Arabidopsis thaliana: one gene and its partner. The protein of the gene in region 2 interacts with the protein of the main gene of each other region in a pairwise test. Each region holds a gene or a part of one and is shown on either strand. Other genes may lie near its edges.

What was found. The genes of interacting proteins can lie anywhere in the genome.
Region 1: the proteins of GEM (region 2) and CDT1B interact in a two-hybrid assay, tested with the Arabidopsis thaliana proteins (one study listed by BioGRID).

Annotation. Positions count from the first base shown.
Region 1 is NC_003074.8:20,249,147-20,257,014, forward strand, and holds CDT1B (CDT1-like protein B), read left to right. Parts: upstream 1-2,665; 5' UTR 2,666-2,738; coding exon 2,739-2,884; intron 2,885-2,972; coding exon 2,973-3,092; intron 3,093-3,241; coding exon 3,242-3,473; intron 3,474-3,572; coding exon 3,573-4,205; intron 4,206-4,321; coding exon 4,322-4,478; intron 4,479-4,567; coding exon 4,568-4,658; intron 4,659-4,803; coding exon 4,804-4,885; 3' UTR 4,886-5,177; downstream 5,178-7,868. Other genes in the region: PHT1;7 (phosphate transporter 1;7), read right to left, coding at 1-924; AMP1 (Peptidase M28 family protein), read right to left, coding at 5,706-5,870, 5,951-6,091, 6,179-6,292, 6,369-6,457, 6,574-6,657, 6,760-6,847, 6,923-6,985, 7,083-7,235 and 2 more. UniProt on the Arabidopsis thaliana protein: Member of the pre-replication complex. Regulates endoreduplication. Involved in the coordination of cell and plastid division.
Region 2 is NC_003071.7:9,537,559-9,546,928, forward strand, and holds GEM (GRAM domain family protein), read left to right. Parts: upstream 1-3,569; 5' UTR 3,570-3,964; coding exon 3,965-4,301; intron 4,302-4,401; coding exon 4,402-4,503; intron 4,504-6,376; coding exon 6,377-6,648; coding exon of another isoform or gene 6,649-6,684; exon of another isoform or gene 6,685-7,031; coding exon 7,032-7,220; 3' UTR 7,221-7,480; downstream 7,481-9,370. Other genes in the region: AGP2 (arabinogalactan protein 2), read right to left, coding at 842-1,237; PFK5 (phosphofructokinase 5), read left to right, coding at 8,112-8,437, 8,516-8,603, 8,675-8,748, 8,831-8,942, 9,046-9,141, 9,229-9,330.

The sequences.
Region 1 (7,868 bases), on a different chromosome or scaffold from region 2:
GAAGGCGATGTCGAGTAGGAACCATGTGCTTGTAGTTCCTAGCAAATGAAGGCCATGGCGTTTCATGAATTCCTTGGAAAACAAGCCAAAGGAATTGGACTTATCTTCAGTTCCCTGCTGCTCTGCTTCGATCTCCACTTGCAAAACCTTAGACATGTTTGAAGCCGCTAGTTTCGCGTCCTTGGCCACAAGAGCCGTGTACCGGGCAGTCTCAGGCATCTTGGACCTTGAGTAATACGTCATCGCTGCAGGCAAAGCACCCACCATCAGTATGATCCGCCACACATAATCCGCCTGAGGAACCGTGGATGCCAAGGCATCTATTTGATAGGTTGGAGCTGGAAATTTAGCCTCGAAAGCGGCAGACACGATGATGGCAAAAATCCCCCCGGTCAAGATTCCAAACCCTTGCATAGCAAAAACGGCGGCTATAAACGCACCACGGGTCTTTTTATTAGCGTATTCAGACATAATCGTGGCGGATAACGGATAATCACCACCAATGCCGAAACCAAGCCAGAACCGGAAGAAACATAGTGTAGTCATCACTGTTTTTGGGTTACTCCCAAAGGATAGACCCGAAGCGATGGAACAAAGAACCATGACCATGAGGGTCATACCGTAAACTTTTTTCCTCCCAAGCTTGTCACCGAGCCAGCCAAAGAAGAGCTGGCCTGCGAGTGTACCGCAGAAGGCGACTCCATTAACAGCGGCTGAGACGTTTGGTGGCAGCGTTCCTGGCTTCTCTGAGCCGTCCACGTGATAGTAAATACGGCCAAGAAGCTTTGTGACGAGTGAGATACAAAAAAGGTCGTAAGCGTCGGTGAAGAATCCCATTCCGGCGATTATAATCGCCGTGAAATGGTACCATTGCGTTTTGGCGACGTCGAGTGCGTTTAGCACGTTTAGTTGATCTCCTGCCATTGCTCTCTTTCTCTTTTCCTCTGCGTTAATATTAAGTAACACATATTAAGTAATCAGTATCAAATTCATATACATAAGCTGGTTTCAGACACGTTTTATATGCAGAAAATAAACTATAGTAAAATTTTAATCTATAATCATCAAAAAGGTTTAAAAACTCGTCAAATTCATCAATTTTTATATCTTTTTGGCGTAAGTATTTGTAAAGGTTGACTTGACGCGTGGGAAATGAAAAACGGGACACGAAGTAAGATGGTGACGCACACCGACAAAAGATTTGATCATATTCCATAATGTACAGTTCAATGACAGTCAAAACTTTCCTTTAAATCACAAAATATTTCAGACCACTTATCTTGTTTTTGTTCCAAGAATGTGCCAAAATAAACTGATCCAAGAAAGAAAGTTGTAAACGAATTAAGTTTCAATCTCAGAACTTCAACAACAAAAAAGCTGTATAATCATAGTTTACTGAACAATTTTGTAAAAGACGATTTGAGTTTTAGCTTCCACATACATATTGTCGTCTATCAAAACATTGATCAGGTATCATAGAAAATGTTTCTTAGGAAACTACTCTATTTAATAGACATAACACAAACACATGCTACACAACAGACACAAAAGCTATATAATTTATAAACAACACTAACCAGACGCTTGCATAACCTCATTTCTCATTCAACAACAAGTCATAATAAAAGTTAATAAAAGATTCAATAGCACATAGTTATGAAGAAGACATTAACTTACAGAAAGTTTTTTTTGTTTTTTTGCTTACTTTCTCGCAAACAATCTCTAATATGGGATTGTCTTAAAGAAAGAAAAAAGAAGAAGAAGAGAAGAGTATTAGTTTGTTTGTTTGTTGTTTCTTCAGAAACTGTAAGAGAGAAAGAAAGAAGAAATGGTGTTGTGAAAATGAAAAAGAGGCAGCGTCGGGAACGGCTACTTATACGTAATCATATTTCTGTTTTTGTTTTGACATATTCTTGTGGTATATTCTTCTGACAACGACGTCGCTTTTATTTCTTCTATTTGACTACTTCTCCTCCACCTTATTTTTACTTCTTTTAGGAGACACTATTGGTTCTGTTTTGCTGTTAATTTTTTTTCTGTTTTGGAAATTGTTTTACTGTCTATTCGAATTCTTAAGACTTACGGTTACAAGAAGTCGTTTTTAAGTAATAATTTCGAATATTCTTTGGGGAAAAAATAAGATTCAGACTTCAGACACATGATGAGCTGTTATTTTTATTTTTTTGGTAATAAGTGCAGAATTTGCAAGATATTATTTTGCCATAAAGAGTAGAAAATTGGAAATTGATTCGTTTTAACCCCAGTCTTCTGTGTTTTCTTACATACATTATTTTGTATAACCGTTTTTTAAAAACGTTGAATTTCCCAGAAGTATTTGTAAATATAGTAAAATTCATATTATAAACTAAAGAAGAAAATGATGACAAAATAATAAATAAATTCAGTGAAATTTAAAATAAAAATGTAAAAAAACTTTAACACTTTAAAAATTCAGTGTTATTTGACACAAAATCTTCTATCAATAGGAATACAAATTGTTTTTTTTTCTTTGATCGTTCATAAAACGACGTAGTACCAATTTATGGTTAAGAAAAATAGCGGGAACCAACGTTTAGAATCGGTTTGAGTGACGTGGCAAATATGGGCCCACAGCTATAGATTGCCTTCTTCTTCTTCCACCTCTTGACCCTTCCTTTAATGAGAGCTCAAAACCCTAATTTCTATTAGCCGTTACGCTCTCTAACTTCACATCACTTCCCTAATCTCTCTTTTCAGCAATGAGCTCGTCGTCTAAAATTGATTCAGAGAAGCCAGTTATGGTTTCCGAGTCACTATTTTCTACCAAGACTCCTATCAAAACCGTTAAAAGGCAGATCTTTTCTTCGTCCCCAAAACCTGAATCTGTTATAAAATTGCCCGAAAGGTGAGATTGATTGATTGATTTGTTCATACACTTTTCTCAAATTTGGACTATTCTTTCAATTTTGTTGATTTTTTTATTGGCATTACAGGTTCGAGATTTTGGAGGAATTTTTCAATGGTTTGGATACTGCAATTAGGCTGCTTAAATTAAAGGGTTCGTCAACGACATACGCTAATATATGTCCCAAGATCGAGTATCTTACTAATCGGTAAAGTCATTGACTTTCACGCTTCTTGTTTAAACGGATTCTGTTGAATCTTGAGAGTTTAAAGGATTAAACTTTTTGATGCATATGATCAATCGTGTGTGTGTGTGTGTTGTTTGATTGTATTTGCTTAATGTTGTTTGGGTCTACAGGATCTTCTCGTATGATCATTTGGCTCAGATGAAGCATATTTATCCGGAAGCTATTGAACTAAAGAGAGTTTTGAAGTTTGTTGAAGACACTTGTTGTATGAAACCTAGGCTTCATATTAAATTAAATACCGATGCAATTGTAGTTGAGGATACCATTTGTGGAACTAAATACATGGAACTTAGAAAGGTGTTTCACTCAAAGCTTGTAGATTTTCGCAAAGCTCATCCTAAGGTACATTATTAGGCTTATCTAATCTATTAATTAGTTGTAGCTTTTTGAATAATGCTTTTATATCTGATGGATTCTCCATCTATTGTTTTCTGTATGCAGGACGAAATTCCGAAAGAACTGCTTCCTGAACCATTCAATTCTCCTCAAAGGGATAGTTATTCAGGTATAGTAAGCGTAGGCTTAGGAGAACCTAAACTTGAAGTTGGAGGGTTTGATGTTCATATGGAGGAGATAGAGCAAGAAGAACAAGATGTTAACAAAGTCATTCCTGATTCTACTTTGTCACACATAGAATCAAGAATAGTTGAAACCCCAGTCAAAGATTTATCCACTCCCTCCAAAGACTTGTCCACGCCAATCCGGCTCATGAGTGCTACACCGACGTTGCAGCTATCTAAAAGATGTATTGAGTTGACTCCAGAGGGTGGTGATGATAACTCTCTTAGATCAACAAATAGTCTAGCAAGGGGTCCATCTCGCAGTCTGAATTTTGATACTTTTGAGGAAGATGCAATTGAGAAAGATGATATTGGTAACGAATCTGATGATAAAGGAATCAACTATGAAGAAGATGGCCTTCTCCAGTCAGTAAAAGGTCCATCTCGCAGTTTGAATTTTGACACTCTTGAGGAAGAAACAATTGTGAAAGATGACATTAGTAACGAATCTGGTGATGAAAAAAGCAACTATGAAGGTGATAATGCTTCTGATGATGATAGCCTCCTTCAGTCAGTAAGTGATGCTTTTTCCTGCAACAATTTTGCTTTCACATTGTTTCCGGATATATTCGTTTTCAGTTGCAAACAGACATCCTTACTTACCATTGTGTGTGTGTTTGTGTCTTGCAGATGATAGAGAGACCAAAGACTGAACCCGAGAAGCACAATTTGCCACAGCTTGTTAATTTGATTCATAGAGTGTTTCACTCAACAAATCGGACAGTCATCACGAAGGAGGAGCTTCTTTACAAGATTATTGCAAACCAAATCAATATAACTGATAGAAGTAGGGACAGTTAATATTGAATGTTTGATAATTTCCCTGCCTTTTCTTCCTTGACAGGCTCACAGTTTCTTTCTTACTTGCATTGCCAGGGGAAGTGGAAGAACAATTAAGTCTGATGTTGCAATTGGTCCCGGATTGGATATCTGAAACAAAAGCATCTTCTGGGGATCTTCTTGTTCGGTGAGTATGTTCCACCAAAAATGATTATGATTTTCTTTATTTGGCTCTAAGTTTCACAAATGAAACAAAAAAATACATTTTGTATTGAAAATATCTAATTTGCTTCTTGAGGCTCTAATACTGGTATATCTTTTGCTTTTTGCAGCATCAATAAAATGTCGACTGCCGAAACAGTACGTGCAAGACTTGAAGAAGCAACTTCACATGACATTTCACTTATCTACTGAAAAACCATAAAACTGAAACTTTTTTTTGTGTTTTCATCCTCTTCACCAATTCAGTTATCATTATTCTTCACAAATATCTTCTTTCTAAGCTGGTCCAACCTATAAACTTGTAACATTCGTTTTACATAATTCGAGAATAATCAGGAGACAAAACACCATTTGATGATTATTAATTCTACTACATGCAGAAGAACTGTATTTGTTGTTAACTGTGGTCTGTGGATACCAATTTAAGAAGCTCTTGCTACAGAGAAAAATGTGTAAGACTCAGATTGAGAATAAGGTTTGGCAAAGGAACAAGATTCGCTAGGTCTTCGTCGAATCGACAAATTTTGAAAAGAGTAGTACTAAAGCAAAAGAACAAAACCAAAGGGAAACACAGTCATCACTCTCCAATCATATGACATCTTAGAAGATAGATTGAGAAGTGTTTGAATGTAAAGGTAAATGAACCATACACTTTTGAAAGAAAAGATTCTAGCTCATCTTAAAATAATTAGATTGTTAAAAGGATTAAACATTTGAAACCGAAAAGCATACTCTAAAAATAAAGATAGTGATTGTTCTTTCTTTCTATATTACTCGAAGAAAGTATTTGTCCTTTGCAATGATGTTTAAGATGTTGATATCATACCCAAGGTTACAGTATAAATTAGTTTTATTAACCCAAAAAAAGAATTAAAAAAAAATGTTAGTCTTGAATATGATTAGATTATAGTGTTTGTTTCATAAATGGTTATGAAAATTAGTTCATAAGACGTTATTCTTCTACAATCTATAGTCACAATATATACACAAAAGAGAACTCTTTCAGATTTTCTCATGTGAAACCTCCTTTAAGAGCTTTGCTTGCTCTCTGAATCGCTCTTGCGACTCTCCATATCTCGTGCTCAATTATTCCCTCTGATGCGTTCATCGCAATGGCATCTGCTATTCCCGGGAAGAATCCTAGCTTGCTCTCTGGCTCAGCCGCCGGTCCATACACCTATGCATAAAACACAAACAAGGTCTCATGAGGTTTGCAAAATTGGTGAAAATCTGACTGAATAAAAAAGTTTTACTCACAAGATGCTTGAACCATTCCTTCCCTTTGATCCCTTCTGCATCCAAAAACCCTCTTTCTACAAGCATCAACCTGTCATTTAGCTCTCTTCTCTTCGCCGCTGCTGCTACATCATTTTTGCTATATGATTTTCCCTTTAACTTCTGCAAATCAATCACCAAAACATGTATAGGTGAGACAAAGAAGCAAAAGATTGAGGTTATACGTTAATTAGCAAAACCATTAGAAACCTTTGCTTCATCTGCGGCTTCTTTGGCAACCAAAGAGAACTCTTGTATCGCCATGCTTAAGGGATTTACAGAGACTTTCCCTTCTAAGAGCTTGCTCAGTTTATCTCTATGTGCCTGAATCATTACACAAAACATAAACTCAGTTTTCCTACTATTCTACGTATAAAAGGTGTGAGTAAAAGAAATCTACCTGCAATTGGTCTGCATAAGAGATGTAATCGAATGGTATGAGTGGCTCATCAGCCAAGAGAATTCCTAAAAGTCCCCAAATTCCAGCCACTGATAAATATAGAAAGCAAAGAAGAGAGAGTGAATTCTCTTCATAACATCCATGAAAAACAGAACAAATAACTAAAAGATAATAATAGATCAAAAGAGAGAAGTGAAATCTTTACTAGCAACATGACGGTGAAACAATGGATCTGCGTTGTGGATCATCCAATCATAGGAGTCAAATGCAGTGTGATAGACAGGATAATCTGAAAGAAAGGATAAACAACATACATTATTGGTATTACTTGCATTAAAACATCACATTATAGAATATTTTGCAAGACTTAAGGAATCATGTTCTCATTGACCTGCTCCATAGTACATGTCTATAGACGGTATCCCGGCATGATGAAGAAAACCGGAAAAATCAGAATCTACTCTACTTAGCCTCTGAATCTGCAGTTCATTAAAACATTACATAGTTTTACATTACAAAGACAATGTATGAGCTCTTTTGAATAGTCTACTCACAATGTTATTTTGAGACTTAAATGTCTCTTCCACTGTCAAGCCTACTGCATCAGGATCCTGTACCTGACCACGCATAGATGAATACGAGAGACTAAGACATTTCCTACGAGTATAAGTTTTCAACAACGCTTGAGAATGCCCCGGTTATTAGTATTCTTACCAGCTTCAAGACATCGACAAGAAGACCGTCTAATTGAGGAGTTGCACCAGCAAAAAAACCAGAGCCTTGGACTGCACAATCTACATTAAGATAAGCAACAGCACTTGCACCTAAGTTAAGAACATTTTCTTCAATCCATTCAGTTGATCCAATCTATACAACAAAAAAGAGAACACAAGTAATTTAGTGAAGCATCATATATAGATTCAACTTTTCGAAGTTACTAATTTACTAACCATTCCAAATTCTTCTGCATCCCAACTACAAAGGAGAATGGTCCTACGTGGTCTCCAACCAGATTTAAGCAAAAGAGCAAATCGTCGACTAATGTCAAGTAAAGCAGAAGTTCCACTGTTTGGATCAACAGCTCCATATGTCCATGCATCTCTATGGTTCCCAAGTATCACATACCTATCCGCTTCTTCACTCCCTCTTATTGTAACCACAACATTGTTAATTTTCTTCATTTTCATCTCCCCCTACAATTTAAAGAAGTAACACACACAAGAAGTAACGAAAATTAATCACATAATTAAGAAATATAACGGAAAATTACAAAAGTCAAACCAAAGAAAACATAACGGAAATGCAAAATTCTAGTTAACTAACCTGAAACGTCATGTTAATAACCATCCGTCCAGGGCCAACCCGTTGACCCGGTCCGACACGACCCGAATTCCGCCACTCCAACGGAGCTCTAGCACCGCCCAGAGAAGCCAAAATGATCTCAGCATTACGAAGAGACAAAGGCAAAGATGGGATTTTGGGAAATCTCCGAGTGACCAA
Region 2 (9,370 bases):
ATTAGTCTACTGTTGTCATCGTATTTTTGCATTAGTTTGTGGAGAAGTTATAGACACCTTATCTAGAAGCTTTGAGTACTGACCTCTGTTAGGGTTTGCTCGTGGCAAATAGGATGAAATCCCAGCTTCTTGGTAACTTGAAGTTGTGGAAATCACGCAAATTTCTGAATTTGATATTTTAGAATCGATGTTTCTTCTCTCGTTTCTGTTTTAGATTTCCGTTTTTGCTAATTCTATAGTTTTTTTTTTTCTGCTACTTGTTTATCTTATAGTTCTGTCAAAATTTAATGATATAAATGTTTCACATTTTACCAAAAAAACATTAATACGGAATGAAAGATGTGCGAGTCCTCTTTTTAAGCCCACTAGAATATAATGGGCTATTTACTAACGAGCTTGTGTTGGTTGACGAACATGAGCAAGCCTCTACATGAGCAAGACAATATCAGTTCAATATATGGGCCAACGACAATTTAGGCATCCCGTATATTAAAGATGAGGATTTAACCCAAATCCTAGTTTTAAAGGTTGGATCGACTTAGTTTCGGACATGTTACTTGGAAGGGCCTGGCATGGTTACAACGACCCATCTACGCTCTTAAAATTTGTTATTGAAAAACACATAACAAAGCGAAAGTACATATAAAAGAATTATTTTGATTTATATAAAAGAATAGATATTACACCATATTGTCTCTATGTTCATCTCATCCCCAACAACAACAAGTGTCCACGTCAAAATGATAATAGTAGTAAATAACAAATATGAACGAGAAGAAGTAATTAAAATAAAACAGTAATAGAAAGCAGAGGATCCAAATCCACCAAACTCAAAAGCTCTCTAAGCCAAAACGACAGCGTATAAAGCTCCGGCAACAGCTGTTCCCACAAGGAAAGCTTTGTTAGCCCATGCGGCACTTGGTGCATCAGCAGCACCGTCTGGTCCTGGAGCTGGAGACGAAGTTGGAGTTAATCCAGCGGAAGGACCGGGAGCAGGAGCATCGGTCTGAGGAGGAGAAGCAACCGGGGATGTTGTTGGAGAAGTGGTAGGAGCTGGAGTTGGCTCGTTAACTGGAACAGGCGGTGAAGCAATTGGTGAAGGTGTTTCTGCTGTCACTGGAGGAAGCGCCGTTGGTGGAGGAGTAACGGTGGTTGGTGCTGGTGCAGGAGCTTGAGCGAGACATGAAGTGGCCAAGAAACCAAGAAAGATCAAAGCTTGCATTGCCTTAGAATTCATTTTTAGATTATCTCTTCTTTGTCTGAATCTTGAAACTCTCTCTGTTTAATGTTATAAACTCTTCTTTATTTTTGTTGATGGTGTAGAACAATGAGAGAAGAGAGCTCTATATATACGCGATGGTTGGGAAATAGTTAATAATTAATTATTGGTGTGACACTAATCATGCGAACCACATACAAAAATACAACATGGCTTAGCTTTTCAATGGCGGTTTAAAATAATTGTTGTCTTTTTTCTTTCTTAAACTTGACGTGTTTGAGTTTTTGAAGTTTTCTTGAAGAATCATCTACATGAAGGAGCACCAAACGGATACACAGATCTCTGCCACGTGTTTTCTCTTAACGATGTTAATTCTGAGATCAGTTAAGTATTGACACGTGTTATGTTTATATTGGTTTTTAGATATGATTTGACTCTGCGTAATTTGCTTTTTGGTTAACCGCGTTACAATGCCAGGCGTAAATTAACTTGAGTTTTGCCTAATGTTTCGTGGAAATAACGCGTTTACGAGTAAATAATTAACATTATACGAAAAATGGGTCATTATTTAAGTTCATATTCATATATAGTATGTCTATCAAAATTTTCAACTGTTAATTATTTTAGATGTATATTATAATCGTTTCTGTTGAAAAAAGTTATTTTATATGTTTCGTTGTAATGTGTTATCTGGACTGATTATACGAGCAAGGGCTGGCAAAAGCTGTCATATTTTCATGTTAATTAAATTAATAAATTAGTAGATCATTATAGTTATATTTATGGTTTTTATTTTGTTGCAATATTCTAGTGACAGATTACTTGGTGGCCATTATTGTTACAAACTTACAACGAAACAGTCAAGCAAACGCGCATTGTTCATATTCTACAGCTATATCATTATTACGGTGTGAAATGCTTCATTTCAATAAGAACCTACCTAACAATTATTTATATTCCTTGAATAATAAATTGTTAGACTCTTGCTTTGACCTTAATATGCATTGTATCAGTATCTTCTTCATAAGAAAATTATAAGTTGAAAACTTTTTTCCTGCCAGCTTTGACCAAATGAATATATTAAAAAGTTACCAATAAAGAAATTTTAATTAATTTGATTAGTAGTACAAGTTTGGACGAGGCCTTGGCAGGCCTCTCTTTCTAGCTTTTCGTGGATGTGGCCTAACCTCGTAACTTTTCGTATTTTATCAAGCCCAAAGTAGCTTTCCGTTATCACTTATATGAAAAAATCTAAGATCTAAGGGGAGTTATTGATTAGTATTTTAATTTATAATCTATATACATTAAAGAAAATAGAACATCTTGAAACCTCTAAATAAATACACCGTGCTTAAAAAACTTCACGAGATATTCAATTGATTTTTTTTTGTTTAGAATATTAAATAATCAATACTCCATTAGATGTCATTTACCCAAAAAAAAAAAAAAAAAACTCCATTAGATGTTATTATTGTAGATTGTACCAATAAACTCTGATATATAAGTCCAACAAAACTCCATTAGCAGTAGTGTTGGTAAGCTCCCCATATTCTTGGGCTTTAGTTTCAGAAGATTTCATGTTATCCGTCGGCTTAGTTTATGGAATTATCTTGTTAATCGCCACTTTTATATAATTTCATATATAATCTATCTTTTAGTGCAAAAAAAGTAAAAAAAATAATTTCAACGAAACTCAAGTTTGGAACCGCAATCCAATTATTTTAATCAAATCATTGACTACCGAAATATTTTTCCACCTTCAAACAATCTAAAAAGAAAAATAATTTTTTTGATCAATTCACCAACGTTATTTAGTTTATAAAACATGATAAAAGATCCTCCAAAAATATAAAACCTAGACTTTCCTTAAATTTTAAGAAGTGTACTTTTGTTCACTCAATTTATTATTTCTCTGCCAAATTCTCTATATTCTTCACACGTAATTACTATCTAGTTCTCGTCCATTTCCTTTATCATTTTCTCATTGTCTTGTAAATTGACCACTCTAATGATCTCTATTATTTCCTCTAGAATAGAGTATGATTTATCTCCAATCTATCACTCTATATATAGAGTAATCCTACAATTTTCTCTATTTTAAAGTAACATATAGAATGAGGATGGAGAGAATGTACTATATCATAGAGTTTTAGAGGACAAAATTAAAGTGGGATTGGAGATGCTAAGTATGTAAATTTGGTTCGGTTAGCTATCATAAGGGACCGAGTGCTATATGACAATGTATTATAGGTAAAAGAAGTGATATTGTCTCCTGTAGATTTAGTGTCCTTAACCGTTCATCAAATCTATGTGAATCTCAGTAGTAGGTAGTTGGGTGAAGAACGTGTGAAGTCTATACAACTCATATTACTCCTCAAACATTTTCTGATAATATATTGCATACATTGAACCTCTTTTTAAATTCAAAACATCAAAGGTATTGATCTTACATAGAAAAAAACATAGACTCTTATGTTCATGTCCCTATTGATCTTAGTCATACCTCATAATTGTCTAACAAAGAAAATCAAAGGTATCATAATTATCATCATATGTAATGTAGGGAACAAATCTGTATTTACTGGTATATATATATAACACAAAAAAAATTACCAAAGAAAAAAAAAGAGCAAAGGGAACGATACCATTAGTCCCAATACCAATCCTTGCAAAATTCAAACTCAAACAAACCGTTTATCTCACGCGCCGCCGTACTCGCCACGATCCGTCTTTGGAGACCAATTTATGGAGCCGCCGAAGGGAGATACCGTAGTGAAGACTGAGGTCCCGGTGAAGGATCCATCGCTAAGCGTCGTCGATTCGAAAACGAAGGGAGTCGAGGATGCGAACACTGAGATAGCCTTGTCCGATGAGGTTGAAATCGAGACGAAGGGAAGCGATTCGACACCGGTGAAAGCTCCGAGTCGAACATCGTCTGGATCGAAGAAATCTGTACATTGGAGCCCCGAATTGGTGTCTGGATCTCAGGAACCGGATCAGAAAGCTGCATCGTCTTCTTCGGCTGGATCTAATCCGTATATTGCTCGTTCTCCAGCTGAGACTTCAGATGCTTCGTTGAAAGGTAAGAGTGTTGTGATCGTAGCGGTGAGAATTGAGATTGTGTATTGTAGCCTTATTTACCTTTTTGTGGATCTCTCTCTGTGTCTGTGAATTGGATTCAGATACGATGGAGACTGTGAAAGGAGTGCTTGGTAGATGGGGAAAGAGGGTTGCAGAAGCAGCAAAGAAGACGGAGAGCCTTGCCGGGAACACATGGCAACACCGTAAGTTTTCGTTTTTTTTTAATATCAATTTGTAATCAAATTCAATGCTTAGAGTTCTGTGGAATCAAGAATTGTTCATAGGGTATTGTTAAAAGTAGCTTGTTCTACTCAAAGTCTACATTTTTTTAGAGAAACATAAAAGATTTTTTTTGCTGTATTATGGTTTTCTTCCTTTGTTGTATGTTGGTGTTTAGGTTAGTACTGGTTTTAGGATTGAGTAACTATCATCATATTCGATAGTGCTCAAGTGTATTTTTATGATCTTCAATTCTTTGATCTCTTTTCAACATGTTGTTGCTATAAAATGGGACGTTCTTACTGGCTTGTGTTGATAAATTTTCTTAATTACAAACAGAACACTCCCCTGAATTTCAGTCTTTAGGCAGTACATTAAAAGACAATGACCTTTGATCTTGTTGAGTTCTTGCTAAGAATAGTAAACGGACTATTTTAGTTATGGAATCATATTGTGTTGGAAGAAATATCTCGGTTTTTCTCAGGTTTATCTTCATAAATAGTTTAGAATCACAATTGTTCTACGTGGATCTCTTGCCTTCGATTTGTCTCCAGAACCAAGATTAATACCACATCTGCTCGGTATTAGAGGATGATCTTTTGATATTGTCAAGTTTGTGATCACAGTAATTAAAAAATCTCTGTCTTGGATTTGAACAAGAAGATTCTCCCAGTTTCAGTCTGTCAAACTTTGTAGCTTGACCCATGACAAGTGTTTATAAGAGAGTCGGAATAACCTTAAAGCTGTTTTTTCTCTGTGTGATGTTTGCAGTCAAGTTTTTAGTAGATTGTCTGGTAACAAATAAAATATCAGATTGAAATTAGGTGCTCTGGATTAGGTATTAGTTGCCATGTTACTTCTTTGGAACTTGGAATTTTAATGCCTTTGGTGAACATTAATCAAAAACGCCATTTGACGAATTAAGAGCTGGATATTAGTTTGACCTTCGGACATGGTCATTCGTGATGTAGTCTAAGTAGTAGGGAATTAGCTCCTAGTTTTGAGATCAAAAAGCCTTTTTGCGGACTGAAGAATTACCACTCTAATCAAGTGATGTTCTTGGTGGTTTGGTGAATGTTTGAGCAATGGAGGTGGAGGGAAAATGTCTGATGACTAGCTAAAACTATAGAAATTGGGGAATTAAGAAAGTTTACACGATTAAATTTATGTTTAGAGTGTTCATGTGTGAACTCTATAACTCATGTCTTCCTTGATTGGGTGTGTTTTAGTTGTCCGCTTCTCTAGCATATTCTATTCAGGATTCGTTTGAGTGATCTCTCTTACAATCTTCTACTTTAGTCAGTGAGAACTGCTCCAGTTTTTTTGTATTTCATATCATGTTTGAATCGATCTTCTATGTTTAGCATTGTTGGAATGGATGTTTGCGCTCAAATATAGTAGATCTTTTGTTAAAGAAGTGAAATATTGAATAGATGCTCCGGAACAGATAGAGTTGCTATATTGCTTTTAGGAACTTGGATTAGATAATACATTTGGATGAACATTAAAAAAAAAAGAAGAAACAGCCTTTGGTGAGTTAGGAGCTAGAACTGTGGATATGAGTTTCAGCTTGGGACATGGTCGTGTTATGGATAGAGATGAGTTCCTGGGTAAGTGTTTGAGTAATGGAGTTTGAGGGAAAATGTCTAATGCCTGCATTTACATAGTATGGACGTAAAGTTTGAATTTGGGTGACTGAGAAAAATAACATGATTCAATATACGTTTCAATTGTTTGTGTGTGAACTCGCAATTCATCTCTTCCTTGATTGGATGTGCTTTACTTGTTTGATTCGCTAGCATTTTCATTCAAGATCTATCTGATTGATATATCTTATAATCTTCTCTTTTTAATCAGTGAGAACTGCTCCGAGTTTTGCGGATGCTGCAATGGGAAGAATTGCACAGAGTACAAAGGTCTTTGCAGAAGGAGGATATGAGAAGATATTCCGACAAACCTTTGAGACAGATCCCGAAGAACAGTTGCTAAATTCTTTTGCATGTTACTTGTCAACATCAGCTGGCCCAGTTATGGGAGTTCTATATATATCCAGTGCCAAACTTGCTTACTGTAGTGACAACCCTCTCTCCTATAAAAACGGTGATCAAACCGAATGGAGCTATTACAAGGTAATGTGTCCTACACCTTTCATTTCAGAATTATAGCCATTTTGAAGACACCATATTATTACTTTTGTGATCATTAACTGTTCGAAATCTGTTGGCTGGTTATCTGGTCAATGCTTGAGACAATGTTTCGTTATAATTTGTTAGTAGCATCAACTAAGGAGCCTTCGTAGAGTGATTCATTTGGATAGAAAAATAATCTGGACTTGTTAACGGAATCATAAATCCATGGACTTTTTTTTTGTGATAGTAATAACATGATTGCATCAGCTTCTCATCTCTTGTTTCATCGAAACCAATCCGATACGATTGCATTTGCTTATTCATTGTAATAAGCTTTGCTACATTGATGATTGATGAACACTTTGTGTCTTCTTCTTAAATAGGTAGTAATTCCATTACATCAACTTAAAGCAGTGAATCCATCAGCGAGCATAGTCAATCCTGCAGAGAAGTACATACAGGTGATTTCGGTAGACAATCATGAGTTTTGGTTCATGGGTTTTTTAAACTACGACGGCGCTGTCACGTCTCTGCAAGATTCTTTGCAAGCCGGTGCTTTAAGGTCGGTGTGATACATAACTGGATGACTGATGACCATAAAAGCATGTTGATCTCCACCTCTTCTTGCTTAGTCATATCAGAAGACTCAAATTTTTACATTATTTTGCATTTAATCTCAATATCCTATTTACTACAGAAACTAGCTGAATTTTACAAATTTACTTTAAAATGTTTTATCTTTTGATATTTTTATGAGAAGACAGCTTAATTGCAATTTATTCAATAGCAGTTGCTTTTAGTTTCTATGTTGAAGAACTCTGAGGTAGTAGGATCAACAAATGTGAATTCAACACGTCCCAGGGACAACGGACTATTAGAACCGATTCAAATTGCTTCCACCAGTGACAACTGAAAAATATACCGAACCAGTAGATCTAAGAAACGAAATTTACTCGCACCCATGTACGAAATTGCCGCACAACTTTTGATATTTACTAATTTGCCCCAATAAAGTTCAAAATACACAACTCCTTTGACTTCTGCAAAGCATCAGCTCGAAAAGTATTTTTTTTTTTGTGTTAAAGGGTTTATCAGCTCGAAAAGTATTTCATTATCTTTTCATCGAATCAGATTCAACTTACGAATTATAAGAGCATCTGATTAGGATTTATTCCAAAGATCACTAACTAAATTCGAAATTTATTCACAGAAGTTCTAGTCACTAATTTTGTTGAAGACGATTTTTACATATTTAGAGGCGTGATAAATATTACAGACAAAAAATGAAGTTAGATTTTGTTTCGTACTTCTTCGTTAATCTAAAGAGCCAAAGTACTGTGATCTAACACTGTCGTTGTGTTTTTTTTGTTTTGTAAATTTGGCAAAAACTCCCTCCAAAAAAAAACTTAGTTGACTGAGAAAACTAAGCAAAAAGATCTCCGATCGGAATCTTCTTATTCGCCATGGATGCTCTTTCTCAGGCGATCAGTTCCGGGATCTCCGTTCCTTACAAGAACAATTCTTCTTCTCTCGTTCCTTCTCACGGACTCACCTCCTTAATCCTCCGGAAATCGAGATCTCCGGTGAATCCCTCATCACGATCTCGCGTCTCGGTGCGAGCTTCGGAGATTCAACACAGCAAAACCTCAGCTTCATCGATCGATCTCAGCGATCCAGATTGGAAATTAAAGTATGAGAAAGATTTCGAGCAACGATTCAGCATACCTCACATCACTGATGTCTTACCTGATGCTGAAGCCATTCGTTCAACGTTTTGTCTTAAGATGAGGTCAGATCACTACTTTAGCTTGAGGTACCAGATTCTGGGTTTTGGAAAATCTATTAAATTGGAGTTTTGATAATTTAGGTCTCCGACGGAAGATTTTGTTGGTGGTTACCCTTCTGATGAAGAATGGCATGGATACATTAATAACAATGATAGAGTTCTTCTCAAGGTTTAACTTCAGATTTTTATTTTTATTTTACTGAACTTTGTAAGATTGATTTGGCTTGTTTTGGAAATTAGGTTATTAGTTACTCCTCACCTACTTCTGCTGGAGCTGAGTGCCTTGATCATGACTGTTCTTGGGTTGAACAATGGTAAACATTTGGACTTTCTTTGAGTTTGGATTTGTGGTTCTTTTTTGGTTTTTGGTTATAATTGGTGTGATGGGATCTTTAGGATTCACCGTGCTGGTCCGAGGGAGAAGATATACTTCAGGCCGGAAGAAGTGAAAGCTGCGATTATCACTTGTGGTGGCCTTTGCCCTGGTCTCAATGATGTCATCAGACATGTGAGTTTGTATCTGAAACTTTGGCATTATAGAAACAGTGTGTGTGTGTGTGTGAAGTCCTACTAAAGACCTTTGATTGTTGTGTTGTATGGATACATTGCAGATTGTCATTACTCTTGAGATTTATGGTGTTAAGAACATTGTGGGGATTCCTTTCGGTTATCGAGGCTTCTCTGATAAAGATCTAACTGAAATGCCGGTATTGTTCGATTGTGCTCTTTCGAGAAAAAGGAACCCGAATCTCTGTTTCTGTTTTGGCTTATGGTTTGCTTTTTTGTGCTTTCAGTTATCAAGGAAAGTGGTTCAGAATATTCATTTATCTGGAGGAAGTTTGCTTGGAGTTTCACGTGGAGGCCCGAGTGTGAGTGAAATTGTCGACAGCATGGAGGTATCATTTAGTTTTTTTCAGTCCTTAAGGAACTTTATGA